Linked DNA regions of Sus scrofa. The protein of the gene in region 1 purifies or fractionates together with the protein of each later gene. This does not show direct contact. Links are inferred from orthologs where the notes say so. Each region holds a gene or a part of one and is shown on either strand. Other genes may lie near its edges. The genes, in order: NLRP3, USP50, TRIM31, NEK7 and MAVS.

The links.
Region 2: the proteins of NLRP3 (region 1) and USP50 purify together in Homo sapiens (affinity purification with western blotting; 3 studies listed by BioGRID). This does not show direct contact. The link is inferred for Sus scrofa from reciprocal best matches to the Homo sapiens genes NLRP3 and USP50.
Region 3: the proteins of NLRP3 (region 1) and TRIM31 purify together in Homo sapiens (affinity purification with western blotting; 3 studies listed by BioGRID). This does not show direct contact. The link is inferred for Sus scrofa from reciprocal best matches to the Homo sapiens genes NLRP3 and TRIM31.
Region 4: the proteins of NLRP3 (region 1) and NEK7 purify together in Homo sapiens (affinity purification with western blotting; 9 studies listed by BioGRID and IntAct, with this or other methods). This does not show direct contact. The link is inferred for Sus scrofa from reciprocal best matches to the Homo sapiens genes NLRP3 and NEK7.
Region 5: the proteins of NLRP3 (region 1) and MAVS purify together in Homo sapiens (affinity purification with western blotting; 4 studies listed by BioGRID and IntAct, with this or other methods). This does not show direct contact. The link is inferred for Sus scrofa from reciprocal best matches to the Homo sapiens genes NLRP3 and MAVS.

What each region holds. Positions count from the first base shown.
Region 1 is NC_010444.4:56,966,030-56,971,813, reverse strand, and holds part of NLRP3 (NACHT, LRR and PYD domains-containing protein 3), read left to right. Parts: intron 1-2,616; coding exon 2,617-2,721; intron 2,722-3,278; coding exon 3,279-5,049; intron 5,050-5,784. UniProt on the Homo sapiens protein: Sensor component of the NLRP3 inflammasome, which mediates inflammasome activation in response to defects in membrane integrity, leading to secretion of inflammatory cytokines IL1B and IL18 and pyroptosis.
Region 2 is NC_010443.5:121,302,534-121,308,370, forward strand, and holds the end of USP50 (inactive ubiquitin carboxyl-terminal hydrolase 50), read left to right. Parts: intron 1-3,497; exon of another isoform or gene 3,498-4,304; coding exon 4,305-4,496; downstream 4,497-5,837. UniProt on the Homo sapiens protein: Deubiquitinating enzyme that removes conjugated ubiquitin from specific proteins to regulate different cellular processes. Regulates the inflammasome signaling pathway by deubiquitinating 'Lys-63'-linked polyubiquitination of the PYCARD/ASC adapter protein.
Region 3 is NC_010449.5:22,677,383-22,683,703, reverse strand, and holds the start of TRIM31 (E3 ubiquitin-protein ligase TRIM31), read left to right. Parts: upstream 1-2,472; 5' UTR 2,473-2,670; coding exon 2,671-3,087; intron 3,088-4,253; coding exon 4,254-4,349; intron 4,350-5,320; coding exon 5,321-5,551; intron 5,552-6,321.
Region 4 is NC_010452.4:21,077,267-21,083,050, reverse strand, and holds part of NEK7 (serine/threonine-protein kinase Nek7), read right to left. Parts: intron 5,468-5,784; coding exon 5,359-5,467; intron 4,435-5,358; coding exon 4,327-4,434; intron 1-4,326. UniProt on the Homo sapiens protein: Protein kinase which plays an important role in mitotic cell cycle progression. Required for microtubule nucleation activity of the centrosome, robust mitotic spindle formation and cytokinesis.
Region 5 is NC_010459.5:31,851,064-31,856,847, reverse strand, and holds part of MAVS (mitochondrial antiviral-signaling protein), read left to right. Parts: intron 1-816; coding exon 817-1,272; 3' UTR 1,273-5,784.

The DNA.
Region 1 (5,784 bases):
GTGACTCAAGCCATGGTGATGACAATACCAGATCCTTAACCTCAGGTTAACAGATTAGGTAATCCTATACCACATCTTCTTTATTCATTCATCTGTTGATAGACATTTAAGTTGCTTCCATATCTTGGCTATTGTACACAGTGCTGCAATGAACACTGAGGTGCATTTATCTTTTTTTTAAATTTTTTATTACTCAATGAATTTATCACATCTGTAGTTGTACAATGATCATCACAATCCAATTTCACAGGATTTCCATCCCACAACCCAAGCACATCCCCCCACCCCTCAAACCGTCTCCTCTGGAGACCATAAGTATTTCAATGTCTATGAGTCAGCATCTGTTCTGCAAAGAAGTTCAGTCTGTCCTTTTTTCAGATTCCACATGTCAGTGAAAGCATTTGATGTTGGTGACTCATTGTATGGCTGACTTCACTTAGTATGACAATTTCCAAGTCCATCCATGTTGCTAAATTTGCTGGTATTTCGTTCCTTTTAATGGCTGAGTAATATTCCATTGTGTACATGTACCTCATCTTCTGGATCCACTCCTCTGTCGATGGACATTTAGGTTGTTTCCACGTCTTGGCTATTGCAAACAGTGCTGCAATGAACATCGGAGTACATGTGTCTTTGCGAATCATGGTTTTCTCTGGATAGATGCCCAGGGGTGGGAATGTTGGATCAAATGGTAGTTCTATGTTTAGTTTTCTGAGGTATCTCCATACTGTTTTCCACAGTGGCTGTACCAATTTACATTCCCACCAACAGTGTAATAGGGCTCCCTTTTCTCCACCCCCTCTCCAGCCTTTATTGTTTGTAGACTTTTGTCTTTTTTTTTTTTTTTTTTTTTTTTTGCTATTTCTTTGGGCCGCTTCCGCGGCATATGGAGGCTCCCAGGCTGTCTAATTGGAGCTGTAGCCACAGGCCTATAACAGAGCCACAGCAACACGGGATCCGAGCCGCATCTGCAACCTACACCACAGCTCATGGCAACGCCGGATCGTTAACCCACTGAGCAAGGGCAGGGACTGAACCCACAACCTCATGGTTCCTAGTCGGATTCGTTAACCACTGCGCCACGACGGGAACTCCTGTTTGTAGACTTTTGGATGCAGGCCATTCTGGCTGGTGTGAGGTGGTACCTCATCATGGTTTTGATCGTCCTTTCTCTAATAATGAGGGATGTTGAACATCTTTTCATGTGTTTTTTGGCCATCTGTATGTCTTCTTTGGAGAACTGTCTGTTTAGATCTTCTGCTCATGTTTTGATGGGGTTGTTTGTTTTTTTGGTATGGAGCTGCAGAAGGTGTTTATAAATTTTGGAGATGAATCCCTTGTCAGTTGATTGACTTGCAAAGATTTCCTCCCATTCTGTGGGTTGTCTTTTTGTGTTGTTTAGGGTTTCCTTTGCTGTGCAGAAACGTTGAAGTTTGATCAGGTCCCATTTGTTTATTTTTGTTTTTATTGTCAATACTTCTAAGAGGTGGATCTGAGAAGATGTTGCTGTCATTTATGTCAGAGAGTGTTTGGCCTCTGTTTTTCTCTGAGAGTTTTATAGTGTCTGGTCTTCTATCTAGGTCTTTACTCCATTTGGAGTTTATTTTTGTGTGTGGCATTTGGGAGTGTTCTAATTTCATTCTTTTCTATGTGGCTGTCCATTTTTCCCAGCACCACTTATTGAGCAGGCTGTCTTTTCTCCATTGTATATTCTTGCCTCCTTTGTCAGAGAGGAGTTGGCTGCAGGTGCATGGGTTTAATTCTGGGCTTTCTATCCTGTTCCACGAATCTGTATTTCTGTCTTTGTGCCAGTACCATATGGTTTTGACGATTGTTGCTTTGTAGTATATTCTGAAGTCAGGGAGCCTGATTCTTTCAGCTCCCTTTTTCTTTCTCAGGATGTCTTTGGCTATTCTGGGTCTTTTGTGCTTCCAAAAAAATTTTAAAATGCATTTATCTTTTTTTTTAATGATAGTTTTCTCCAGATATATGCCCAAGGATGGGATTGAAGGATTATGTGATGGTTCTATTTTTAGTTTTTTAAGGAACTGCCATACTGTTCTCCATAGTGGTTGTGCCAATTTTCATGCCCAGCAACATCGTAAAGGGTTCCTTTTTCTCCATAGCCTCTCCAGCATTAACTGTTCGTAGGCTTTTTATGATGTGATTATTTTTACTTTTGAAGACTCAGAATGTGGGTAAGATGAATTCCAGGCATTTGTGTCAGAGGAGGATGATTGTGAGTGCTTTGGCCATTGTGGAGATATTGGAGAGTTTGAGGATGGTCTCAAAACCAGAGCACCAGGGAGGGAATTGTTCAGAGACATGAGAATAAGAGAAACCTTCTTTGCCTCATATGTTTGCAATTTGATTTCCAGCCTGGGAGATCTGAGACTGGATACTGTGTGGACACAATGCTAGGTGGGAAGCATTGCTTGGAAATGAGGAGTACAGGATTGTCCCCAACTGAACATTCAACTGAGCTGATTTTGGTTTGGGAGATCTTTAGGGCAGGTGCCTTTGACCTGTGTCAGGTGTTGGATATTGAATCTCCATTACATCATCTTAGGGTTTCTGGGTTTTGATATTTTGCATTTTTCTTCCTTTTATTCCCAGACAATGCAAATCTTTCTGTGATAAGCCAGGAAGAAAGCCTTGAAGAGGAATGGATGGGTTTACTGGGGTACCTTTCCAGAATCTCTATTTGTAAGAAAAAGAAAGGTAAGAAAAGGAGGTGGCATTTCCAATTGGGTTTGGAGACTTGGTTTGGTAGGTACTTGAAGCTGGGAAGCTGGATATCTTGGTGATCCTAACATGTTCCTGTTCCTTGGGGTGAAAAAGTCAATCTCAGCTGAAGAAATAGATTCATGCTGGCATGGCTCCTTGCAGTCTAAGAACCAAGGGTACATAATTAAGTGCTTAAGTCTTTAAAAAGCATGAGCTGCAGAGTATCTAAAGAAGTAAACTGAATAAAAAGTGTTTTCTGGCCTGGAACAGTGCCTATGACACTTGGCTGTTCTGTTCAACAATATATTTCAAAGTTCAATAAAACTTTGAAAATTAAAAAAAAAGTGTAATAAGATTTTGACACTCTAGATTTTCCATTAGGGTGTCAGAATCTTCCATTTGTCCATACCTAAGCAGTGCAGAGAAACTGCAACTTCCATTTCTCAATTTCAGTTACCACTCCTTACACACCACAGGCCCCTGATGAAAGCTTATCTCTGGTGGATGAGCTCAGGCTTTGCCCAAAGTCTAACTTTCTTTTTCTGCCACAGATTATTGTAAGAAGTACAGAAAGCACGTGAGAAGCAGATTCCAGTGCATCAAAGACAGGAATGCACGTCTGGGTGAGAGTGTGAACCTCAACAAACGCTTCACCAGGCTGCGTCTCATCAAGGAACACCGGAGTCAGCAGGAGAGGGAGCATGAGCTCCTTGCCATTGGCAGGACCTCAGCCAAGATGCAAGATGGCCCCGTGAGTTCCCTGAACTTGGAATTGCTGTTTGATCCTGAGGACCAACACTCTGAGCCTGTGCACACGGTAGTATTCCAGGGAGCAGCAGGCATTGGGAAAACAATACTGGCCAGGAAGATCATGTTGGACTGGGCATCAGAGAAACTTTACCAGGAAAAATTTGACTATTTGTTTTACATTCACTGTCGGGAGGTGAGCCTAGGAACTCGGAGGAGCCTGGGAGACCTGATCGCCAGCTGCTGCCCTGGCCCAAACCCACCCATAGGCAAGATTGTGAGCAAGCCTTCCAGGATCCTCTTCCTCATGGATGGCTTTGATGAGCTGCAAGGTGCCTTTGATGAGCGCACAGAGGCACTCTGCACAAACTGGCAGAAGGTGGAGCGGGGAGACATTCTCCTGAGCAGCCTCATCAGAAAAAGACTGCTTCCTGAGGCCTCCCTGCTCATCACCACAAGACCTGTGGCCCTGGAGAAACTTCAGCACTTGCTGGGCCGGGCTCGTCATGTGGAGATTCTGGGTTTCTCAGAGGCCAAGAGGAAGGAATATTTCTTTAAGTATTTTTCAGATGAACAGCAAGCAAGGGAAGCCTTCAGGCTGATTCAGGAGAATGAGGTCCTGTTCACCATGTGCTTTATTCCCCTGGTCTGCTGGATTGTGTGCACTGGGCTGAAACAGCAGATGGATAGCGGCAAGAGTCTTGCCAGGACATCCAAGACCACCACTGCCGTGTATATCTTCTTCCTCTCCACTTTGTTGCAATCTCAAGAAGGGAGCCAGGACCACCACGTCTCTGCCACCCTCTGGGGTCTCTGCTCACTGGCTGCGGATGGAATCTGGAATCAGAAAATCCTGTTTGAGGAGTGTGATCTCAGGAACCATGGCCTGCAGAAGGCAGATGTGTCTGCTTTCCTGAGGATGAACCTATTCCAAAAGGAAGTAGACTGTGAGAAATTCTACAGCTTCATTCACATGACTTTCCAGGAGTTCTTTGCTGCCATGTACTATCTACTGGAAAAGGAGGATCAGGGGGAGATGAGGAATGTGCCACGAAGCTGTTTGAAGCTTCCCAGTCGAGACGTGACAGTTCTTCTTGAAAACTATGGCAAATTTGAAAAGGGGTATCTGATTTTTGTTGTCCGTTTCCTCTTTGGCCTTGTAAACCAGGAGAGAACGTCCTACTTGGAGAAAAAACTGAGTTGTAAGATCTCTCAGAAAATCAGGCTAGAGCTGCTTAAATGGATTGAAGCGAAAGCCAAGGCCAAGAAGCTACAGATTGAGCCCAGCCAGCTGGAATTATTTTACTGTTTGTACGAAATGCAGGAGGAGGACTTTGTGCAAAAGGCCATGGGCCATTTCCCTAAAATTGAGATCAATCTCTCCACCAGAATGGACCATGTAGTTTCTTCTTTTTGTATTGAGAACTGTCGCCATGTGGAATCACTTTCTCTGAGGTTGCTCCATAATTCACCCAAAGAGGAGGAGGAGGAAGAGGAGATAGAGGAGGAGGATGTTCAACACTCTGATGTGGACAATTGTATCCTCTCTGAGTCTCATGTTGCATATTCTCAGCGGTAAGGAGATTCTTGCTAGATGACAGTTACCTTCCTCTGAGGACAGGAGATTGCTTTATATGTTCTAGAAACTTCTAAGGACCAGCAGCCTGGGCATCTACCTGGTGCCTGTTAGAAGTGTCTGATCCTGGACCCATGGAGTCAGAATCTGCATTTTTAAACAATAGCTGCATTTTGGAATGACCTGGAAGTGTTAAAAATTTCAACATGCTTGGTCTCACCTCAGAGATTTTATTCCTGTGTTGTGTCTTGGCTTGGAAATTAAAAAAAATTTTTTTATGGACACACCTTCAGCATATGGATGTTCTCAGGCTAGGGGTTGAATCAGAGCTGCAGCTGCTGGCCTGCACAACAGCCACAGAAATACTGGATCTGAGCTGAATCTGCAAACTACACTGCAGCTTGTGTCCATGCCAGATCCTTAACCTACTGAGTGAGGCCAGGTATTGAACCTCCATCCTTATGGATACAATGTCGGTTTCTTAACCTGATGAGCCATAGTGGAAACTCCTGGCCTAGGGATTTTGAGAGCACCGCTGATGCTATTATGCAGCCAGTATGAGAATTGGTCTCTCGGTCACTTAGAAGAGTGTCAAGGGCCATGGGCAGGGCAACTGACTGATGAGGGAGGAAGGAGGAGAATGCCCGAGGGAGGGGCAGGAGAGTATTCACAGTAAGCCAAAATTAGAGGCTCTTGCTCTTTTTTTAGGCCACATCTGTGACATATGGAAGCTC
Region 2 (5,837 bases), on another chromosome or scaffold:
TAGACATTATTTATCATGGTCCTATATGGTTCATGTTGGTCTATATTTATTAAGATCTTTACAAACTTTTGCTGTCTAATCTATGTCACTTTTTCATTTGTATCCAGTTTTATTTACTTGGGATATATTTCAGTACACTTTTCAATAACTTGTTATCCTGAAGTCTCCCAAGTCTGTTTTTTGTTCTCTTTTTTTCAAGGCTGTACCTGAGGCATATAGATGTTCCCAAGCTAGGGGTCCAGCTGGAGCTGCAGCTGGTGGCCTACACCACAGCCACAACAATGCCAAATCTGAGACACATCTGTAACCTAAGCCACTTCTTGCGCAACTCCAGATCCTTAACCCACTAAGTGAGGCCAGGGATAGAACCTGCATCCTCAGAGACTAGTCAGGTTCTTAACGCTTTATGAGGCACAATGGGAAAGCCTCCCAAGTCTTTGACTGAAAAAGTTTTTAGTTCACTTTTCTTTCTTGAATAATTTAACTAGAAACCTAATTCTAGATTATCATTTTGAAACTATTTTATTATTTCTCTTTTTGTTTGTTTTTTTTGCCTTTTCTAGGGCCGCTCCCGTGGCATATGGAGTTTCCCAGGCTAGGGGTCGAATCGGAGCTGTAGCCACCGGCCTATGCCAGAGCCACAGCAACATGGGATCCGAGCCACATCTTCGACCTACACCACAACTCACAGCAACACCAGATCCTTAACCCACTCAGCAAGGCCAGGGATCGAACCCTCAACAACATCATGGTTCCTAGTCGGATTTGTTAAACACTGCACCACGCCAGGAACTCCTATTATTTCTGATTTATATGGCTGCTATGGAGTTCTATCATCATGTGGGTAATCTTTTTTTCTGGTTGCTTTAAAGATTTTTCTCTTTGTGTTGTCTTGCAGCACTATTTTTATTTATGCCTGGTTCACTAAATTTGGTATTTATGCTTGGTATAAATTTTTATTTATGCTTTGGTTCACTATGCTTGGTATTTACTAAATTTGAAGATTCATCTTTCATTAATCATTTCTAGTCATTATCACTTTCAATATTGCCTATACTCTATTCTCTGAAACACCTATTAGACATACATTGAATGTCTTCATTCAATTTCCTATTACTACGATATTCAGAGTAATTTCCTCAGTTTCATTTCTATAGTTTATTCATTCTCTGTTCAATTCTATGTACTAGTTAATCTCTACACTGAATTTTTAATTTCAAGTATTATATTTTTCACTTCTAGAAGTTCCTTTCAGGATTCCAAAGTCTGCTTCCTTTTTCTTAAATGTCTATACCTTTTATATAGTCTCTATTTATTGCCTTTTAACTCTTACTCATGGTGAATTGTTTCCTTGTGTGTTCTGTAATACTAAATTGTCAGTTCAGCATTACTAGGTTTTTGTCTTATGTGGGTATCCTGTGCAGCCTGAATTAAATACATCAAACCAGAAAGTAATTATCTTCCCTTTTGCCAAAGGCAACCCCAGAATACTTCTAACATTAAATTCACAAGATTCTGGAGTTCCTGCTATGGCACGGTGAGTTAAAGATCCAGGTCATAGCTGTGGCTCAGATTCAGTTTGTGGCTCGAGAACTTCCATGTGCCATGGGTATGGCCAAAAAAAAAAAAAAAAAATTCACAGGATTCTGAGACACACAGGTAGTGAAAAAAATTTTTTTTTCCAAGGCATGTTGAAGTTCCCAGGCCAGGGAATGAACCCATGCCACAACAACAGATCCTTAACCTTCTGAGCTACCAGGGAATTCCCCAGGTAGTGTAACTTTGAATCCAAACCAAAGAGAAGTCAGTCTGTGGTAACAAGCTTCTAGGAATGACTTTTGTTCTATGTACCCAGAGCCTAAGCTAAGCTAAGCACTGGAGGATGGGTTTTTCTCTCCTAGTTCATTGTTTTATTGAGGACGAATCTCTTTAAGAGTTGTGGTTATGTGTGTGGATCTCCAACCCAACTCCTCGCCTTGCTGGGACCTAAGACTTAACCTCCTCCAGTCCTTAACGCAAGTACCCTGGTTCCAGGAACCAGGGACTGTCTTTACTCCCAGGAAGTCACAACACGAACCACATGCTATGCTAATCTTTTTATTTCTTCTGTTCTTGGCCTCTGGGGATTACTTTCGTTATACAGTCTTTAAAGTTAGCCATATATTTCAAAGGGTATTTAACAGGTTTTCTCCAGCACTTCCATAACTAAGGCTTTCAGGCTAGCTAATTGTCTGCCCAAGTTACTGGGAATGGAAATCTAGAAAGAGGCTTCATTCTCTTTGACTAAGTTTTTTGTTTGTTTGTTTAACAATAAGTCATCCAACTGAACATATTCCAGCTGTGGTCTGTCTAGTCACTTTAAAACACTACTTCATTATCTGGATCCACCAGATGTTTCTGTCAGTCAAATTACAATCACACCATTATAGGCACCATTTTATAAATAAGGAAGCTAAAGAGCCTATCAGCTTAAGGTAACATGGCAAGGACCAGGATCAAAGACTGGATCTTTTATTTATTTTAATTTTTTTTGTCTTTTTGCCTTTTCTAGGGCCGCTTCCCAAGGCATATGGAGTTTCCCAGGCTAGGGGTCTAATCAGAGCTGTAGCCACTGGCCTACGCCAGAGGCACAGCAACGCGGGATCCAAGCCGTGTCTGCAACCTACACCACAGCTCACGGCAACACCAGATCCTTAACCCTCTGAGCAAGGCTAGGGATTGAACCCGCAACCTCATGGTTCCTAGTTGGATTCGTTAACCACTGCGCCACGACGGGAACTCCAAGACTGCATCTTTTAAATGTCAGCTTTGGGATATTTCTCTAACATGTAGGGGGAGAGGGAGGGAAGATGAAGGTCTTAGGAAATATTTAACCAAGTACTTCCTATATGGCAGCACTAAGAGAGAAATAGTAGCCATGTAAGACAAGACAGATCTAATTACCCCATTTTAAACGACAGGGGAATTAAAGCTCAGATGGTTTCCTTAAGGTCACTGTGTAGTATTAGAGCTGAATTCATAGTCAGAATGAATTTAAAAAATCCATTTTCTTCACTCTACCCTAGGGATCAACAAACTTATTCTGTAAAAAGCTAGACAGTAAATATTTTAGGCTCTGCAAGCCATATAGTCTCTAGTCTGTACTGCAATTATTCAACTTTACTGTTGTAGTGTGAGAACAGCCAGCTAAAAACATAAACAAGGAGGAGTTCCCATCATGGCTCAGTGGTTAATGAACCCGACTAGAATCCATGAGGACGTAGGTTCCATCCCTGGCCTCGCTCAGTGGGTTAAGGATCCGGTGTTGCCACGAGCTGTGCTGTAGTTTGCAGAGGCGGCTCGAATCCCGCATTGTTGTGGCTGTGGTGCAGGCCAGCAGCTACAGCTCTGATTCGACCCCTAGCCTGGGAACCTCCATATGCCACAGATGCAGCCTTAAAAAGACAAAGACAAAAACAAAAAAACAAAACAAAAAACATAAACGAGTGAGCATGGCTGGGTTCCCATAAAACTTTATTTAAGGACATTGAAAAATCTGAATTTCATATAATTTATAATTTTCACATGTCACAAAATATTATTCTTTTGACTTTCTTCAACCGTATAAAAATATAAAATGCATTCTTAATTCACAGACCATATACAAACAGGCAGTGGGCTGGCTTTTTGACCCATGCGCAAATAGTTTGTCAACCCCTGGCCTATACCAGACCACCTTCTGAGAAGTGAGGTTCTCCAATGCCTTTGCTTCAGACACTCTTTGACTGGGTTAGGAAAGACATGCGAAAAAGAGGATGGAACAGGTTCTTTTGGGGGGCCTTAGATGACCAGGAGAACTGTTGTTCAAGTACAACAGCCTCAAATTGTGTGGTAGCAATATACAGTTGTTTTCATGTCCTGCTCCAATGTTAAATTTTTTTTTCATGTCGTCAAAATTAAACAATAAGCTCATTTAGGAAAGATTATTATTTTCTTATTTTAAAATTTCCCTTGATGTTTAATAGTCTATGTACAGTACGTGCTCAGTAAGTATTAATGAATAAATATTAGATGCTGCCAAATATTGTCCTACTTCATTCACAGATTCTGTTAAATAATCAATGTACACAATATATAAGTTCAGTGATTAAGAAAAATATAGCAGTCAGGCTATATGTGGGATTTAACTTAACAAAATTACCATTTCCTTTTAATCCAGTATATGGGACAATTAGAAAAAATATTTATTGGCCCTACCTTTTTGATTCCAAGTGTTTAAAGTATTCGAATGTAAATACTAATGCTGACATTCCTTTCTCCTCTAGAACCATTTTGGTGATCTGGATGGTGGCCACTACACTGCTTTCTGCAAGAACTCGGTGACCCAGGCCTGGTATAGCTTTGATGACACACGAGTCAGTGAGATTCCGGACACTTCAGTTCAAACTGCTACAGCGTATCTCCTGTTCTATAGCTGCCAGCCCTTTTCTATACCTATACAAAAATGCAAGAGTTAGGAATATGGTAATTCCTGAAAACTGCAAAACAAGTAGTCAGAAACTGGTACTTAAGTTCTGTACTATCATTAAAACTCTTGCAACTTACCTGCATCACATTTAAGTCTTTCTGGCATATTATGCAAACTTTTATAAGTCTATAACAAAGATGGGTCCTGGACCACCAAAAAAAGGCAGCATAAGAATGATGCAATGCCAATGGGCTGGGAGCCTTCAAAGCACTTAGACTACATATTGTGTTCAGGCTTCAAAGTGCAGTGTTTATTAGGGTATTTATTTATTTTTTACCATAAACTGTCTCATAATTATTTATATCCAAAGAGTTATTTTCCGAAGATATTTCACAGAGCTAAACCGAAATAACTTTTGTTCGAATGGCTCTGTGAGCTTAGAATGTGAGCTGAAAATATTTAATTTGATCAGATAATTTAGCCAAGAAGCTTTAATCTCAGACTACTTGTGGTACATGAAGTCGTCAGTTTCACAATTCAAAACCTATCCTTTCATCTTCTTCCTGGGAGTCCACTAGTGGTGACATCTTTTAGAAGCACCTTTAGAATTTTGTTTTTATATGGAGTGTTTATATTGATTTTATCTGTAACAACTGAGTCCCTGAGGTAAGTGAAATTCTAAGCTCCTCTGTTCCTATTAATAAATCACTTTTTTTTTTTTTCCACTTTTTAGGGCTGCACCCATGGCATATGGAAGTTCCCAGGCTAGAGGTCGAATCAGAGCTACAGCCACCAGCCTACACCGCAGCCACAGCAACTTGAGATCCGAGCCATGTCTGTGAGCTACATCACAGCTCTCGGCAACACCAGATCCTTAACCCACTGAGTGAGGCCAGGGATTGAACCCATGTTCTCGTGGATACTAATCAGATTAGTTTGCCCTGTGCCACAACGGGAACTCCAAATGCATCACTTTATAAAGATGTGGTTTATAATGCAGTTTTGCAGTCATGCCTGACTCTTTTTTTTAAAATCTTAATCCAAAGAATTCTACACTCTTGATAGAATAAGTCTGGTTTTATTATATCTGACTCCCAATCCTGAGACTCGTAAGTGTTATATGTAGTTCGGGGTCAAGATGAAGGAAGAGTGGAATCAACTGATGTAACAGAGTAAGCGAACTAAATTCTAAGTCACTGTAGTGGGATAAAGTGTGTGTATGTGTGTATAAAATCTTTAGTTATTCTGTCCTATGTGTGATAATATAAAATTAAAGACAGAACACTTACAGGATTTTAAATTATTTTTCTCATTAAGATTTTAATGTAGGTGTAAATGAAAATTCTCATTTTAAAAAATTAAAGAAAAGTTTCCATTTATTTTTTTAGAA
Region 3 (6,321 bases), on another chromosome or scaffold:
TCTAATATATTTATATTCAGCCATAAAAAGATGGAAATCTTGATTCTTGGCAATATGGATGGACCTTGAGGGCATTCGGCTACGTGAAACATCAGACAAATAGTCTTTGATCTCGATTGTATGTGGAAACTCCACCACACTCATAGAGATAGAGAGTAGGGTGGTGGTTGCCAGGAACTGAGGGGTAGGGGAAATTGGAAAGTGTGGGTCAAAGGGTACAAAGTTTTAGTTATAGGATGACTAAGTTCCCTACTGTACAGTGTTGTGACTATAGTTGTTTTTTTTGTTTTTTCGTTTTTTGTCTTTTTGCCATTTTCCACAGCATATGGAGGTTCCCAGCTAGGGGTCGAATAGGAGCTGTAGCCACCGGCCTACGCCAGAGCCACAGCAATGCAGGATCTGAGCCGTGTCTGCAACCTACACCACAGCTCACGGCAATGCTGGATCCTTAACCCACTGAGCAAGGCCAGGGATCGAACCTGAAACATCATGGTTCCTAGTCGGATTCGTTAACTACTGAGCCACGACGGGAACTTCGTGACTGCAGTTAACCATACTGTATTGTATACTCGAAAGTTGCCTCAAGAATAGATCTTTAATGTTCTCACATTAATAACAACAAAAAGGTAACTATGTGAAGAGAAGGATGTGTGAACTAATCTTATCATGGCAAACATTTCACAATATATACACGTACCAAAGCATCGCACTGTGCACTTAATCCTTCACAATGTTCTATGTCAATTATGTATCAGTAAAGCTGGGGGATGGGGGCGGGTGGGGGAAGGAAGGTCAGATGTCTTCAGGGGCCAGGCAGACAAGAGGGAGGAAGAAGTGGTAGGGGAAATAAAACACCCACCCTCTCTAAAGTCATCCAAATTACCCTTATGTTGAAAATCACCAGGTCAAATAAAACCTGGTTTAATAGTTAAATTCTGCCTCCAGGGGTCAGCAGTTTAAGATGCGTATAAGCTATAAAATATTACGCAAACATTAAGATGCTTTAATTCAACCTCAAAGCAAACAACGAGAAAGATCTTTTCATAACATTTCTGAAACAGAGGTATAATATTTCTGAAAGCCTGTGGCTTGCAACGGTTGCTATAATTAGGGTAATTGTATAATCTGTCATCCAAGCAGGACACTTTTGAGAATGGAAGGAAGTGCTACTCATCACACCAGCACCATCCCAGGCAAACCAGAATATATGATCACTCCGACTATAATCAGAACATCACTCCCAAGCCCTGTCTGACCTAAGATTAGGATCTGGTAAACATGAAGGGGTCACTCCTTGGTGGGGACAGATGGCAGAGAGAGAGGAGGTAAGGGCGGAGGCTGGGATGGAGAGGGAATGGGAAGCGAGAAAGGATCCTTCTCTTACACAAGGAGGCAAGGTTACAATGATGCAAATGGAGGTTGGGGGACACTGGTCGATATTTTCCTGGTCAGGACCGAAGCCCCAGGGGAAGGTGTTTCAGAGATCAGAGAAGCACCAAGAAGCAGGAAGAAATACAGACAAAACAAAGAATGCTCATGGAGACGCTAGAGATGGAAAACATTTGAGAAAAAACCCAAAGAGGACAGATTTGCTACAGGTGCTATGGGGAAGTAAAAGATCAGCCAGGATGGAGAACAGCCCTTTCAGAGAGGAAGTTCCTTGCTCCTCCCACTGTGCTAGGAATCCCCCCCCCAGCCCCGCCCCATGAGGGGAATGGTTGCTTTTCCTTATAAATAATGGGAAAGCCCCTGAGTGGGTGATTACATCTTCCACATTTGCACAAAACTCTTAAAAGGGTAGAGCCAAACTACAAGAGGCAGGGAATTACCCTCTTCCTTCCTTTCCATGTTTTTCCATGGTTCGGGCTCTGCATACAAGAGATGTTCAACGCATCACTGGTGACCTGCTGTGACCTTTCGGGAGGTGACTTCCAGCCCCTCTACTCCCTCCCTGAACAACTGCCAGTGGACTTTGGTGCCCTGGTCCTTCTGATCTCTGTTAATGGCCTCATAAACATATCTTTAATTAGTCCAAGGTTCAGGACAACTTGCCCCATTTTATAAGCAGGATAAATCCATTTACAATATCCATTTGTTCGCGAGAGGTAGTGAGGTAGCATTGCCCATCGGTTTTCTTCTTTATGATAGTCCCTACATTGGTTTTACTCTTTTCTTTTTGCCTTTTTTTTTTTCTGTTTATTTATTTATTTATTTTTTGCTTTTTAGGGCCACACCCGTGGCATAAATAAATTCCCAGGCTAGGGGTCGAATCGGAGGTCGAATCGGAGCTACAGCTGCCAGCCTACACCACAGCCACAGCAACGCAGGCTCCGAGCCATGTCTGTGAGCTACGCCACAACTCATGGCAATGCTGGATCCTTAACCCACTGAGTGAGGCCAGGGATAGAACCCGATCATGGATATGAGTTGTGTTCGCTAACCGCTGAGCCACGATGGGAACTCCTGGTTTTAATCTTTTCTATTATTCTTTTTTTTTTTTTTTAATCTTTTCTATTATTCCTTTTTTTTCTCTAGCACTTCTTTTCCTCCTTCCTGCTTCTCTGATGGACCCTTTGACCTTCATCTCCTCTGTTTCCTCCTTTTGTAGAACCAGTGTCCACAGCAGGATCCTAGACTCTCTGCAGACTTGACGCTGCCGTCGTCTCCATCATGGCTGGTCAGCAGTTTACCAACAAGCTTCAGGAGGAGGTGATCTGCCCCATCTGCATGGATATCCTGCAGGACCCTGCTACCATCGACTGTGGGCACAGTTTCTGCCTCCAATGCATCATGCGGAGCAGGGAAGGATTGGACAGCGTTATTAAATGTCCCCTCTGCAACAAAATTGTGAAGAGGGACACGATAAGGCCCAACTGGCTGTTGGTGAATCTGGTGGAGAAAATCCAAGCTATGGATCCCTCCGAGGAACAGCCAGAAGTGAAAGAGCTGAAGTGTCCGAAGCACGGGGAGAGGTTTCATTACTTCTGTGAGTCCGATGGGAAGGTCCTCTGTGTGGCGTGTTGTGGATCCAAGGACCACAAATTCCACAACACAATTTTGCTAGAAGAAGCTGCCCAGAGTTTTCAGGTAGGCATTTGGGGGTCCCTTCCCTGTTCCCCCACCACAGACCAGGAGTTCAGTGAGGGCCTGGAAACCGTCACCTCCTGCCTCTGGTTTGTACCGCATTGCTGCCATCTTGGCACTTGAGCAGACACTTCACGGTCAGGTCCGGTAGGTTCAAATGTCTGTGTGTGAAGAGCTGATGCCTGTTGAAGCCAAGGGGTAATGGAGAATGGAAAGAATGCAGGGATTTTGAGACAGAAGGTGTGGGTCCAGATTCAGACTCCTGAATTGACTCTGTGACCTTCAAGGAATTCCTTTACCTCTCTGTGCTTCGCCTTTCAAATGGGACAAACAAAATGTATTTTTAAAGAATTGTTGGTATGGGAGTTCCCACCATGGGTCAGTGGTTAACGAATCTGACTAGGAACCATGAGGTTGCGGGTTCGATCCCTGCCCTTGCTCAGTGGGTTAAGGTTCTGGCGTTGCCGTGAGCTGTGGTGTAGGTTGCAGACTCGGCTCGGATCCTGCGTTGGGTGGCTGTGGTGTAGGCTTGGCAGCTACAGCTCCAATTAGACTCCCAGCCTGGGAACCTCCATATGCCGCGGGTGCCGCCCTAGAAAAGGCAAAAAGACCAAAAAAAAAAAAGGAATTGTTGGTATGGCAAATGAGAGGTTTGTGGAAATGCTTCAGTAATCCCAAAGCACATCCAAATATTAGTCATTAATATATTAGTTATAATTTACTAGCACATTCCTTTCTAGTGCATCACTTAGGCTCCGACACTGCACCCCAGCCCCCAGTTTGAACAGCAAAGGTGGCTCTATTAATCTTTATACAAGGATAGAGTTCCCATTGTGGCTCAGTGGTTAATGAATCTGACTAGCATCCATGAGGACGCAGGTTCAATCTGGCCTTGCTCAGTGGGTTAAGGATCTGGCATTGGCGTGAGCTGTGGTGTAGGTTCAGATGTGGTTCAGATCCCGTGTTACTGTGGCTGTGACGTAGGCCGGCAGCTACAGCTCCAATTCGACCCCTAGCCTGGGAACCTCCATATGCTGCAGATGCAGCCTTAAAAAGCAAAAAAAAAAAAAAATCATTACACAAGGATGCACCCACCCTCCAGGGAGATCAGAGGGTGTCATGAGGCCAAGAAAACTCCAGGAATTGCCAAGATAACTCTCTCCCCACAGGGGCAGATTCAATCACAGGTGGAGGCCCTGCTGCAAAAGGAGAGGGCGATCGTTCAAATGAAGTTACAAGGTGACCAGAGGATCACTACCTTGATGGTAAGAAAAAAACTCAGGAGTTTCTGTCATGGCTCAGTGGAAATGAAAATGACTAGAATCCATGAGGATATGGATTCAATCCCTGGCCTCGCTCAGTGGGTTAGAAATCTGGCATTGCCATGAGCTGTGGTGTGGGTCACAGATGCGGCTCAGATCCTGCATTGCTGTGGCTGTGGTGTAGACTGGCAGCTCCAGCTCCTATTTGACCCCTAGCCTAGGAACCTCCATATGCTGTGGGTGCAGCCCCCAAAAGACAAAAAAGACAAAAAACTTTTAAAAAGAAAAAAAAGAAAATGAAGACATTGTAAACCCACCTAATTATCTTTACCTGTGTTGTGTGTGTGTGTGTGTGTGTGTGTGTGTGTGTGCTCACGCACGTGCAGAGGGAAAAAAAATCTGTGTGAAAGCCAATTATAAACTGAAAAGCCTTCTGGAAATGTGAGTACTAGATACCGAAGTATTAAGTGTTAGATATGTAGGTGCTATCAGACAAGAAACATAAACAAGTAACCCCAAACAAAAATGAAGCACATAGTAAGTGCTTTAAAAAATGCTGTTCTCGGGGAGTTCCTGTCATGGCTCAGTGGTTAACGAATCCAACTAGGAACCATGAGGTTGTGGGTTCAGTCCCTGGCCTCGATCACTGGGTTAAGGATCCGGCATTGCCGTGAGCTGTGGTGTGGGTCCCAGACGCTGCTCGGATCTGGTGTTGCTGTGGCTCTGGCGTAGGACGGTGGCTACAGTTCTGATTGGACCCCTAGCCTGGGAACCTCCATATGCCGAGGGAGTGGCCCTAGAAAAGGCAAAAAGACAAAAAAAAAAAAAATGTTGTTTTCTTCCCCTTTCCTTTTCTCCAGGTCTGTCATGCTGCTCAGGATAAACTTAATACAATGGAAACTGAGTAAAAAGGGGTAGAAGGAGCTTTGAGGCCACCCTCGCATCTTCTGAGTGTCCGTTTTCCTTGCCCCCAGGCCCAGGTCGAACAGGAGAAGCAAAAGATCAGCACGGTATTCGAACAGCTGCTTCAGGCGTTGAAGGAGGAGAAGAACTTCCTCCTGTCTCGGATCAACTGGCTGGATCAGGAGCTGACCAAGGACAGGAACTCCTACCTCGCTTCCGCCGAGGCGCAGCTGCAGTCTCTCAGGAAGCTTAAGGATTCCCTGAAGGCCAGGCAGCTTCTGCCGCCCAGAGAGATGCTCCAGGTAAGAGTTCCTGGGGGGCCAAGTTGTAAGGAGCTAGCGTCCCTCCTAGTCACAGCTCAGCGCACTGACCACCTGGCACAATACCAGAGACGGCCACCACTCTCCTGCCCCAGGCCCCGTGCTGCCCAGGACAAGGACGGTGTGAGCCACGGTGTGATTTAGTGCATAATGCACACCATGTATGTCATTTAGAAATATAACAGGATGGAGTTCCCGTCGTGGCTCAGTGGTTAACGGATCCAACTAGGAACCATGAGGTTTCGGGTTCCATCCCTGGCCTTGCTCAGTGGGCTAAGGATCCAGCGTTGCCGTGAGCTGTGGTGTAGGTCGCAGACGCAGCTCTGATCTTGCGTTGCTGTGGCTCTGGCGTAGGCTGGCGGCTACAGCTCCGATTGGACCCCTAGCCTGGGAACCTCCATATACCGAAGAAGCAGCCCAAGAAATTGTAAAAAGACCAAAAAAGAAAAAAGAAATATAACAGGAACATGTGTATAATTCAGAATTATATTACACATATGCAATTTAAACTTTTTCTAGTAGCCACATTAAAAAGATAAAAAGAAAAATAATTTGAACACCATATTTTATTTAACCCAATATATCCAAAATATTCTCATTTCAATCTGTTAACCAGTATTCTTAAAGTATTCAGGAAATATTTTATAAACCTCCCCCCTTTAAAAAAATTGAGTCACTGTGGCTCAGTGGGCTAAGTCCCTGACTAGTATCCATGAGGATGCGGGTTGGATCCCTGGCCTCACCCAGTGGGT
Region 4 (5,784 bases), on another chromosome or scaffold:
TTGTGGACACGTGGGAGAATTAGTCTATCCACTCCCTTAAGGGAGGCACGGCCACGAGATCTGTTTCAGCCAATAAAGTAAGTGGGGTAATTTGTGTTACGCTGGAGCAGAGACGCTGAACCAAGAGCCAGTGAGGGATGCTTCATGATCCTGCCCTCAGGAGGTCACGACAGCACATGCAGATATGCGGATCACACAGGACGGAAGCTGCGCCAAGTACCAAGTGACCACGTGGAGGGAAGGCAGCTGCCTCGGACCCCCCCATGGGCCCACAGTGGCTCCGGGGGACCAGAGGGATAGTCTGCTTCGGTGCCAAGTGACTGAGCTGCTGCTCCTGTTTCTTCCTGCAGCATAACGTAACCTATCCTAACTGGTGCATTTTGTTAACTCCGTCCTTTGATGTGTGGCCTCTCTCCAAGCCCATTTGTTTCATCAGTATGTGCTGAGCATCTGTTTTGTGCAATGCCCTCTCCTAGGCATGTGAGACACATCAGGGAACCTAAACCACGGAGATCTCAGTCCTCATGAAGCTTATACACAGCTGGGGGAGAGAGACAGAAAGCACTAAGCCTGATAAGGATTTACTAGCATATTCAAAGATGAATATGCTGGGAAAAAAGAAAAAATGAGACTAGGATAAAGATCAGGAATTCTAGGGATGGTGTGGGAGTGGGCGTCAGGTTCAGTATTCAATAGAATGAACAACAAGCCCCACTCGACCCACTGCATGACACTGCGGAACAAGAAAGCGGAGAAAACTTGCTTTAAAACTGCTTGCAAATAATAAAATGCTACACACATATTCGCTGCTGCTGATGCTGCTGACATTTAATAGCAGCAGATGTTTCCTCCGGGTCATTATTACAGGAAACCAAGATAGTTTGACATTAAAAATCATATATTTGGATTATTTCGAAATAATCCAAGGTGAAATGAAAAAAAATTACACCCTGATTGCCATGTTCCTATTTCACAGGTCTCGGCGTTTTAGTTTTCAGTCCAGAAAAGCTACTCCTTTAGAAATACCTGCCCAAGTTGGGGGTAGACAGAATGGTTACTGAAGAAAGACTTCAATATCCTATAGGCCCACTTTCTGTTTATTTCTGAGACATGGGCAGCAAAAGCAGTTAAGTCCAGGACCAGGGGCAGCTCCTATCAGCTCCTCCACAATGTGCAAAGCACAACAACGTAACTCCAGATGGAAGCAAGTAGCAACAAGCCAAAAAACAGAGACAGAGTGGGGAAAACTGCACAAGGTGCATTCAGTGATGAAACACAGTACACGTGGGACAGTGAACCCAGACGCAGCAGCTGGGGCTCCCTGCTTTCGCTGGGGCTCTCTGCTTTCCAGGCGCACAGCCGTGTGCCCCCATGCCCTGGTCTCCTGGACTCCAGGAGAGGAACACTTTGCACCCTGAGCTCACACACAACTGTAAGGACCTCGGGGAGCTGAAACTATAGTCTCTGGTGCACATTGCTGCCCGCCTCCAGCAGCACAGGAAACTCTGCAAATGACTGGTTTATGTCTGACCAACTGAACTGGCCAGCCAGCCAGTCGGGAGAAGGCTGACAGTAGCTAGAGAAATGGGGAGTCTGTCTTCAAGTAAATGGAACAGCACGAAGGTACTGCAAACACAGACTAATGCTTTCCAAATTGCGGGTTATAACCCATTAACGAGTTGTGAAATCAATTCAGTGGGTTGCAAATAACATTATTTATAGTAACATAAAATAAAACAGAACAGACGACATCAGAATGAACTGCAGTTGTAACAGAAAACACTGTTACATGAAACTTCTGCTTCAGACATACATGGCTGTGCTCCCGTGGGGTCACCGTGTTGCTGGGGGGTCGATGTCAAGAAATTTGAAAGCCTCTTAACTAGTCTAGCCAAAACCTTGATTCAAGAGAGAGGTGTGTTCTCATCATAAATTTTAAAGATACAGACATATTTATGTATACATAAAACACATTTTATAGTATCTGACCATTTATAAGGTTGACAGACAAATGAAAGACAACAAAGGGATATGTGCCCCTTCTCAGAGAAGTTAATAAATGGCTTGATCAAGGTCCTATGGAACATCCCCACTCTCGCCAAGCATCGTTCTGTCTCGCCTTGGTAACACAGGACAGCAGTACCTCTTTAAAAGTAAAAATTAGGGTCAACCGGTCAACAAAGAAAAGCCTGTCTTAAGATTTCTATCCTTGTTATTTTATACATACTATTTGCTAGCAAAGAATTTTTCCTGATCCTTCTACATAGGATTTTTATTGGGTCCAAAGAGGGCTAGAGTTCAAACTTTAATTCTTGACGTTCACCATACTTTGCTTCGTGAACTTACAGTTTCAAATCATCAAAATCTTTGCAGAGAAGACAGGCAGGAATAAAAAGCTTTCTTATTTTAAGAATATGGAAAACAAAACATGAGTGAAGGAAATTATTTTTCTATTGATTCATTTATCGGAGAAACAGTCTCATTGCTACTTCCTTAGCATGTGTTTCAGAATGTTTGGTAATTTGGGGCATCCTCATTTATTGTGTGTGTGTGTGTGTGTGTGTACATATAAAAAACTAAGAGACCCTAAATGAACTGATTTAGATAAAAACTGACATCAGAAATTCTTAATGAATTATAAGATCTCCTAAAATTTTATTCTCTATATCACATAATTTGAACTAACATATCACCTAAATCTAGAGATGCGTATATATTTTTAAACCCCATTCAGAGATACTGTAAGAGGTGGTAGCAGGCAAGCTAAAGAAATCCATTTTCAAAACTGGTGAGATCTGGGTTTCACATAATATGCTGGATCATTAAGGTCAGGCAACTAACTAACGCATGCTCAGGGAGACAGCTTGCAAAGCAGCACTTAAACAATACACATGCATGGGCAGGATCATGGGTACATGCAGGGTGTGTGTGTGTGTGTGTGTGTGTGTGTGTGTGGGTGTGTGTGGGTGTGTGTAACTGTGCCCTGGCATTTTAAGTAGATTGATGACAGGGTGCTATCAGGACATGCTGTTCAGGTGAATAACAGAGTGACAACATGTTATCGTTGCTAATGATAAATGGCACTGGCTTGGAGCACTCTGATGTTTTCTTCACAGAAATACTCTCCTACTTGCACTGTGAGGGTTGGAAAGTCCAGATAAAACTTTATTACAGTGCTTTGCCAATTTAAGCATTTCATATGGAATGTCACATCAAATTTTCTTATCTGGGAAAAAAAAAACTGTAATGCTCTGCAAGAATAAATGTAGAGTGAAAGAAAAAATAAAAACAGTATTACTTGGCATCAGTTGAAATTTTACTTCCTCAAAGTACTTGACAAAAGTGAAACTCTGCGTGAAGGGTAAAGTGTTATTTTTCCACAACTCCTTCATCTGAGATCCAATATTCTGCCATTCAGTAAATATTGATGAGGTGCCTACTTAGGCATCACATCCTGTTGTAGATACAGAGGAGTTAAATGACACGTTCAAGGCCACACAGAACCTTAGAACAAACCCAGACAAACTTTAAAAATGTCTGGTCAACTAACTCAGACGCTGGTCTCACTACTTGTTATTTAGTGCAACTCATTTACTCCTCATTGGGCCATTTGAAATTTACTATTTTGCATTTAAAAACAATTTTATCCAAAAAAAAAAATCACTTGTTTTCAATGAAATTATGAAAAAGATACGGCACCACTAGCCAACTTATTTCTACTGTTTCTAAGCTGGACAACCTCCTTTCCATTAATATAATGTCGTACTAATAACTACATTCGGCTCTCTTTTGGGTGTGAAGGAAACTGGTATGTTGCCAGCTCTAGAATGAATAACTTACAGATATCTTTCTACTTTCTAATTGAGAAGTATTTTCCCCATTAGCCACAGATCATGTATGTTGCCCCTCTGCAGTAATCACAACCGTGTATGTTACTTTAATAAATTAAACATTTACAAACTACCATAATAATTGTTAATGGTCAGGTGAGGTCCTCTTTCAAGATATGGTTTGTTCTTCATGTTATCTCTATATTACTCCATGTAAAAGAAAAGATCCTTGGAAATACAACCAGATTGGTTCATTAGCACTGTCTTTCACTAAGCGCCTGCCTGAGGTCAAATTAACAAAGTATCCGACTGTCCTGAATGGACACATTATACCTGATAAACCTGTATCGGCTCAGATCTGATGATGTTAAAAAGTGTTATTTAGACTATAAGAGCTGGCACATAAATGGTAGATCCCTTATACATTTAACCACGGGGGTGGGGGAAGAAAGGTGGGCAGGTAGTGGGTAGATAATTGAAGGAAACCATCTCTTACCTAACGAATGTGCAGCTGTGGTTTTGGAGCTAAAAAACCGGCCAAGGCCGAGATCTCCAAGTTTGACCACCCCAGTGGCCGTGATGAACACATTAGCCGGCTTTATATCTGTGAATAAATGAAGGCATCCGGTGAAACATGGTGTCAGGTTAGGCAAAGTCAAAGGATTGAAAACCACTTCTCAACTGTAGAATTTAAAATACATCTTTAAAACGAAAGTCAGGCTAAATTTTGAAACTGTCCTCTTATTTTGAGTAATTTTCATGTATCCGAATACCTCCGAGTTCTCAGTCCTCTGATAGATAATCATCGACGGAGCAGGAGGATGGCTATTCATATTCACTTAGAATGCATTTTGTTTGCTGTTTTCAAATAAACGTCTATGAAATTCAAAGCACAAAATAAATGTGTGCCAGTCTTAAATCAATCTTAAATAAAATAGCTTACAAATAGTAATTTATTGATATGCTTACTTGAACTAGAAATCAAAACTCTATTATGCATATAATTACTTACTTAGATGACCTCAGAAATTTTAATTGCTTAAATAAGTTGTATTGAAACTGTGCACATCTCAAAATCAAGGAATCAATTCCTTAGTGATGTAACCTTCCCCCATTCTGCCCAACCATCTGACTGATAAGCAAGAACGTGTTAGGAGTGGATGCAGAAAATTAAAAATCTAAGTACCTATGATGTATACTGTACATTTAAAAAAAAAAAAAAACCTCTCTTCCTTATACATATTCAACTGCTCTCCTGCATCTATTTTTTCCCTTTACTAACAGAATCAGTTAAAAAAAAAAAACTAAAAAAAAAAAGTCCAACAGAAAAATAATTAATTCTAATTCTTATTTAAAACCACATATGGCTTTACTTAAAGGCTTATCATTCTAGTAAAATTACAATTTGGAAATAAATTACCTGGGAAGGCATGATACTATGCGATGACCAGAAGGCATGTATTCTTAAGCTGCCTAGGAACCTGCATCGTTTAAACCAACCCTAGAAGTTCCTCGGGATTTGGCTCACCTCGGTGCATGACTCGCCGAGAATGCATGTGCTCTAAGGCGCTGCAGAGCTGGACAAAGTACTTCCAAACAGTTCTCTCAGGAATCAGCCTCTTCTGTTTCTTAAAGTGCTATTGAAAAAATTAAAGATGAGATTTTAAAAAAACTAAAATTATCTTCAGACTAGACTCTGACCAGCAAAAACCCTAAGTCAGAAAACCACCTACTCATGTCTATTACCAGATTTAAAAGAAACCACACCCTTTTCCACAGCAAAACAATTCCAAGATTTTTACCTGACATAATAGCTTAAATGTCTCCCTGTTGTATCTAAAGTTGGTACAGGCTACATACAGCAGGCTACATCTTTGTGATATCCACCTATTTCAAAAAATTAACATGTACAGAAAATAATTTCCTATCCTAGAGGGGGAAGAAGGAGGATGTC
Region 5 (5,784 bases), on another chromosome or scaffold:
TTTAGAGCTCACAGCTCCCCACCCCCCCTTCTTTTTTTTTGTTTTTTTTAGGGCTGAAACTGTAACATACGGAAGTTCCCAGGCGAGGGGTCAAATTGGAGCCTACATCACAGCCACAGTAACTCCGGATCCGAGCCACAATTGTGACCTCCACCACAGCTCCCAGCAACGCCAGATCTTTAACCCACTGAGCGAGGCCAGGAATCGAACCTGCATCCTCATGAATACTAGTTGGATTCGTTACTGCTGAGCCATGACGGGGAACTCCTCACAGCTCCCTTTTAAGCTGAGTGGGGAGGGGTAGGGCAGGGTGGCTTATGGGCCTCGATGGCTTGCTCTTCACCACTGGGAGATCTGGTTGCCCTACCATGACCAGGTGGGACAAACTGCAGTCCCAGCCCGTCCAGCCTGGAGCAGCCGCTCTGATTCAGCAGACTCTGAGCCTGTGCCTCTAACCCTACTGCTGCTGTCTGCCTGGAGGAACCAAGTTCATGAAGCCCTTTGTGTGCATGGCCCAGCCTCTTGTCTACCCTGTACCTGCTCCACGGCCTTGAAGCCCAGGCAGGATGCTGAAGTAGATGGGACCACACGTGACCAGGGGCTCGTGGGGTGGGAGTGAGCTCACAGGCAGGCCAGTGAGTGGAGCTGTCAGCCCTAGAGGAGGTCCCCTTCTCCCCTGCTGTCCTCCTGTACCATCCGTGGGTTGGGCACTCTGGGGTATGGTGCTAGTTCTTGGCCTGGCCTGGGAATGGGGCCACCCAACCTGGCTTTTCCCCTGCCAGCCTCAGTCTCTCCAGCCCCTTCTTTCTTTCCCAGGAGACTCCAGCATCTCCAGCGCCCATAGGCACTGCTGCTGGAGGCACCTCGCCCTGGCCAGACAGCAACTCTGACCGCTGGGACTCAGAGGAGCCGGAGCTGAGCAAGCCTGGTAGGCTGGTGTCCAGGATGGATAGCCAGCCTTTCTCGGGCTCCTCCGAGGACCTCGCCATCAGCTACAGCAATCCTCTGGGCTCAGGGCCTGACAACACCCCAGAGGAGAACGAGTACGTGTCAGTGGATACTATTAGGATCCAGGGGGACCCCAGCACCCCACCTGTAGGGGACAGCCCGGGGCCACTCACTGCCTCGGAGTTCCAGGCAGAGGAGGAGTTGGAAGAGGGGTTGGAAGAGGTCAAGACTGAGGCTAGGGCTCCGTGGGTTGGGGTGGCGGTGGTTGGGGTGCTTCTGGCCACACTCCTGGCCATGCTGTACCGGCGGCGCCTGCCCCAGTGAGGCTCCTGGGCCCTGTCCACCACGTATCTGTTCCCTTCTCCAAGATACATCTGCCTGAGCCACAGAGCCAAGTTATCCCAGCATCCCTGACCCTTTTGTGGAGCTGGCAGAGGCTGGGTCAGAGGGGAGGCAGGGGGCCCCAGGCTTAGTCCTAGCAGGGAGCATTTCGGTCCCATTGTCCTCTGTGGCTCCCCCACCATCCTTGGCTTTTGGGGACCCGTGCTGCCCTGGGTGCTCCAGACCATCTGGCCATCTGGGTTGTTACCTTTGTCCTCTGGAGGAGGTGCCTCTGTCCCAAGTCCAAGGATCAGGAGGTGCAGCTGGAGACCGCAGGGCGTCAACAACATCCGCTGTCCTGCCCTGATCCCTGGCAGCCCACAGCAGATGGGTGGGGCAGGGGGCCCCACAGGACTTTGCTCCAGCCCCCAGGGGCCCCAGGAACAGCATGGTGGCCCATCTCTAAGGACCTAGTCCCCTGCCTCCCCTGGCACACAAGGATGGGAGGAGGTCCGGAGAGTCCCATGGACCCCTGGGAAGCCTGACCAGCTGCTGGGCCTGAGAACCACCTAAAGAGCCCCTCTCCAGCCCCCGTATCCTGGTCTCTCTTCACCTCCCTATGGGGGCTGGGGAGGGAACACCTGCAGGGCAGAGCTCAGGCCAAGGTGCAGATTTCGGCTCCACCCCTTCCTGGGCTGTGTGGCCTTGGCAGCTCATCAGACTTCTCTGGTCTTGCTCACCCATGTGGACGGTGAGTGTCATGCCTTATCCTTCACTGCCTTCTCCTGAGATTGAAGCCTACATGTCTTTGTCAAGTGCCTGGCTCAGAGCAGGTGGCTGCTAAATGCTTTTCCCCATCTCTCCCTGCCCGGCCTGGTGGAGATGAGGGGTGAGAGGCAGGGAGCCAGGTGGGTAAGGGGGTACCACTGTGCTGTAGGGTGGCCTAGGTCTGCATCCCGCTCTCACTAATTCTGTGCTCTTGGGCAAGATATTAACCTCTCTGTGCCTTAGTTTTCTCACCTGTAAAAAGAGGATGAGTAGTGGAATTTTATATATATAGATACACACGTCCTAGTGTCATAAGGATTAAATGAGTTTATCTATTTAAATCTTAGAATGGTTCCTGGCATTTCATTGACTAAGGGTTGGGTACATGTTTGTCACTATTCAATGTGGAGGGACTGGAGCACTTGGCTACACCGTTAGAAGCAGAGCCAGGCCATACGCCTATGTCCCTTTTATATTTGCCCCTTCCTTTGTCCCGGGCACTGGGGAATTACTGGGGAGGGAGGTCTATCCACTGGGGCAATTCTGCAGGGTGGGGGCTGGGGTGCTCCCCAGCAACCAGATGGATTGGGGGGTACCCTAGTGGGTTCTTTTCAGGCAGCCATTGCTGGACAAGGGGCAGGGACAGGGGCCTCGGGAGCTCCCTTCATTTCTGGGCTCTGCAAGCAGGACCAGAGCCCTGAGGAGACATAAGGGGTGGGCGTCCCTGGGACCCGCCCCCAAGCTGTCAGTCTGCAGGGTCCTGCACCCTGCTTGGGCTGCTACAGCCTTTCTTTGCACTGCCCTAGGGGACCTCAGCAGCCTAATGACCTTGGCTTCTACCTCTAGATTTCTCTTCAACCCTCTCCAAATGGAACAACCTGCACCCTGAAGCTAGGAGTGGTCCCTACCCACGCTGTCTGCAACCACTCCCTATCACCCTTGCTCTTAACCACCCCTCTGTGCTCCTTCTTCACTCCCAGGTATCCAAGTCAGGGAACAATTCATGCACAGGTACTGGTTTTAAAGTGCTACCCTCTCAAGGTGGCTTGGGAACAAAGTATCTCGACAGCAGTGTGTAGACCTAAGGGATGCTACATAAATGGTAGGATTTCAGAATTCCCATCATGGCTCAGAGGAAATGAATCCGACTAGGAACCATGAGGTTGCAGGCTTGATCCCTGGCCTCGCTCAGTGGGCTAAGGATCCAGCATTGCTGTGAGCTGTGGTGTAGTTCACAGATTCAGCTCGGATCTGGCGTTGCTGAGGCTGTGGCGTAGACTGGCAGCTGTAGCTCCAATTAGACCCCTAGCCTGGGAACCTCCATATGGGGGCAGCTCTAAAAAGCAAAAAAAGAAAAAAGGTAGGATTTCAAGTACGGTGACCAGCCAAGGGGGAGATACTTTTTGGATAAGGTGTGTAGAAAGCAGTCAGGGATGTACCTGGTCCTTTGCAAATTATGCTCCCCAGAAGCCCTGACTTGGCCTGCATCGAACAGCACCCCTATTTTGGCTGTTGTTGATCTGAAGGCCTCTAAAATGCCAACTTGAAGCAGGCTTGGGAATTGGCCAGTATATGGAGGCCTGTGGCCAGAAGAGGGCTTGGGGGAGTTGATGGGATGTGTCATATCTCAGGAGTCCTGGGTTTCAGCAGCAAGAGGGTGCGTGTGGGAGGGTTCCTCATCCCCATGGCCTGAGTGATGTGGAGGGAGGGAGGACCAAAGAGGGCCTTTACCCCAAGAGGTGAGCACAGCCACCTCTACCTAGAGGCTTGGAGAAGCACCCTTTACCTTTCAGTAAAGGCTGTGGGGCCAGAGGGGCCAATGGCATCCTAAACACTTACAGCAGCCTCACCTGTAGCCCAGTATACATCCGTATTTAAAAAAAAAAACAAAACACCCTCTCCATCTTTTCTCTCTCCTGTTGAAACATTTCCTGCAAAGCCCAAGAGCCACCAATGCTTCTCTTTTGCTGGGAAATAGCTGTCACCTTTGCTTGATGACCCACTGCAGCCAGACTCACATCACATCCTCACCTTGTTTTCCTGGTTGGATGTACTCAGATTTAACTGACTTAGGGGAATTTCTGGTCAAATATCAGCAAGATGCCCTTTCCTCTTTCAGGCTTTGGGTTGGGTTATTCATAGCTTCTTTTGTTTGTTTATCGGCCACGCCTGTGGCATTGTGGAAGTTCCTGGGTCAGGAATCAAACCTGGGCGATGGCAGCAACCCAAGCCAATGCTGGATCTTTAACCCACTGCACCAGAGGAGAACTCCCGTAGCTTCTAAGCATTTTTTTTTTTTTTTATGAAAAACTTTTAAGCTCACACGGTAGAATAGATAGAATAATACTCCCCACTCCATATGCCCATCATCCAGCATCAGTAATTGTGGACACATGGCTAGTCTTTTTGTTTGTTTGTTTTGTTTTTTGTCTTTTTGGGGCCACACCCACAGCATATGGAGGTGCCCAGGCTAGGGGTCGAATCAAAGCTGTAGCTGCTGGCCAAAGCCTCAGCCACAGCAATGCGTGATCCGAGCCACATCTGTGACTTACACCACAGCTCACAGGCAACACCAGATCTTTAGCCCACTGAGCAAGGCCAGGGATCAAACCTGCATCTTCATGGATATTAGCTGGGTTCATTGCCGCTGAGCCACCAGGAATGCCTCATGGTCAGTCTTGTTCATTCCTGCTTGATTCCCCATTTTTTGTACAGGTGCCTTTTGTAAATCAGGGAGTGAGGAGTTCAAAGCCAAGGGAAAGACTTGGGACAAGAGGATTTTGTGGCAAAGGACCTGTGTTTTCTTCCAAGGTAGCATGAGGTAACAACGAGGCATTCCCCTCTTGGTTTCTTGGCATCGGTGGTGACATCCCTCTTGAACCAGTTCAAAGTGTGAGCAGCACTGGGTCCCTCTCTTAGGAGGAGGGAATCAGAGGGGATTCCTTTACTAACAAGCTCCCCTGAGGTGTCTGGCCACTGCTTCTGTCCCAGAAAGGTGACGATCAATGGGCATGTCCAGTGGCAGTTTGCCCCATTGCATGTGGGGTCTCCTCTAGGCTCTGGCAGAGCCCTTCCAGTGGGCAGACCTTCCCACTCTTGTCCAGATTCAAACTCCACAGCCTGTCTCCTGCTTTTACAGGAGTCTCTTAGGCATGGAGTCATTCAGGCCTTGAGGTCCCTTGCTTTCCACCAATACACTCTGGTGAAGCTGATGGCCAAGGAACATTTTTTCCTGCAGGGAAAGTAGTGTATATTTTCCTGTATAGATCATCACAGAATATTGGGTCAAGTTCCCTGTGCTGCATACAGGTCCCCGTTGGCCAGTCATTCCATAGACCACAGTGTGCTTACACCAATCCCAACCCCCCCAGTCCACCCCTCTCCCTTCTACAAACTATTGTTGCCAAGCGAAATAGGCCTTTGTTGAATTGAATTTAGTTCATGTAACAATCCAAACAATTTGGTCATTGTTTCAGTTGTTTGAGGACCCTCTGTTTCTGGATTTTTTTTTCCCCACTGTGTGCAGGATGAGCCACCAAATTACTAATGAAATGGAGAACAGGGCAGAGCCAAAGCTCCACACAAGGCTCTTCAAGACCATTGGTCAACTGACCTCATCAGCTGACCTCATCATTAACCGATTATTCAGGAATTCTACTTTTCCTACAGTCATCTAGCTGTTAAGAGTATACCTAACTCGGAGGAGTTCCCATCGTGGCGCAGTGGTTAACGAATCCGACTATGAAC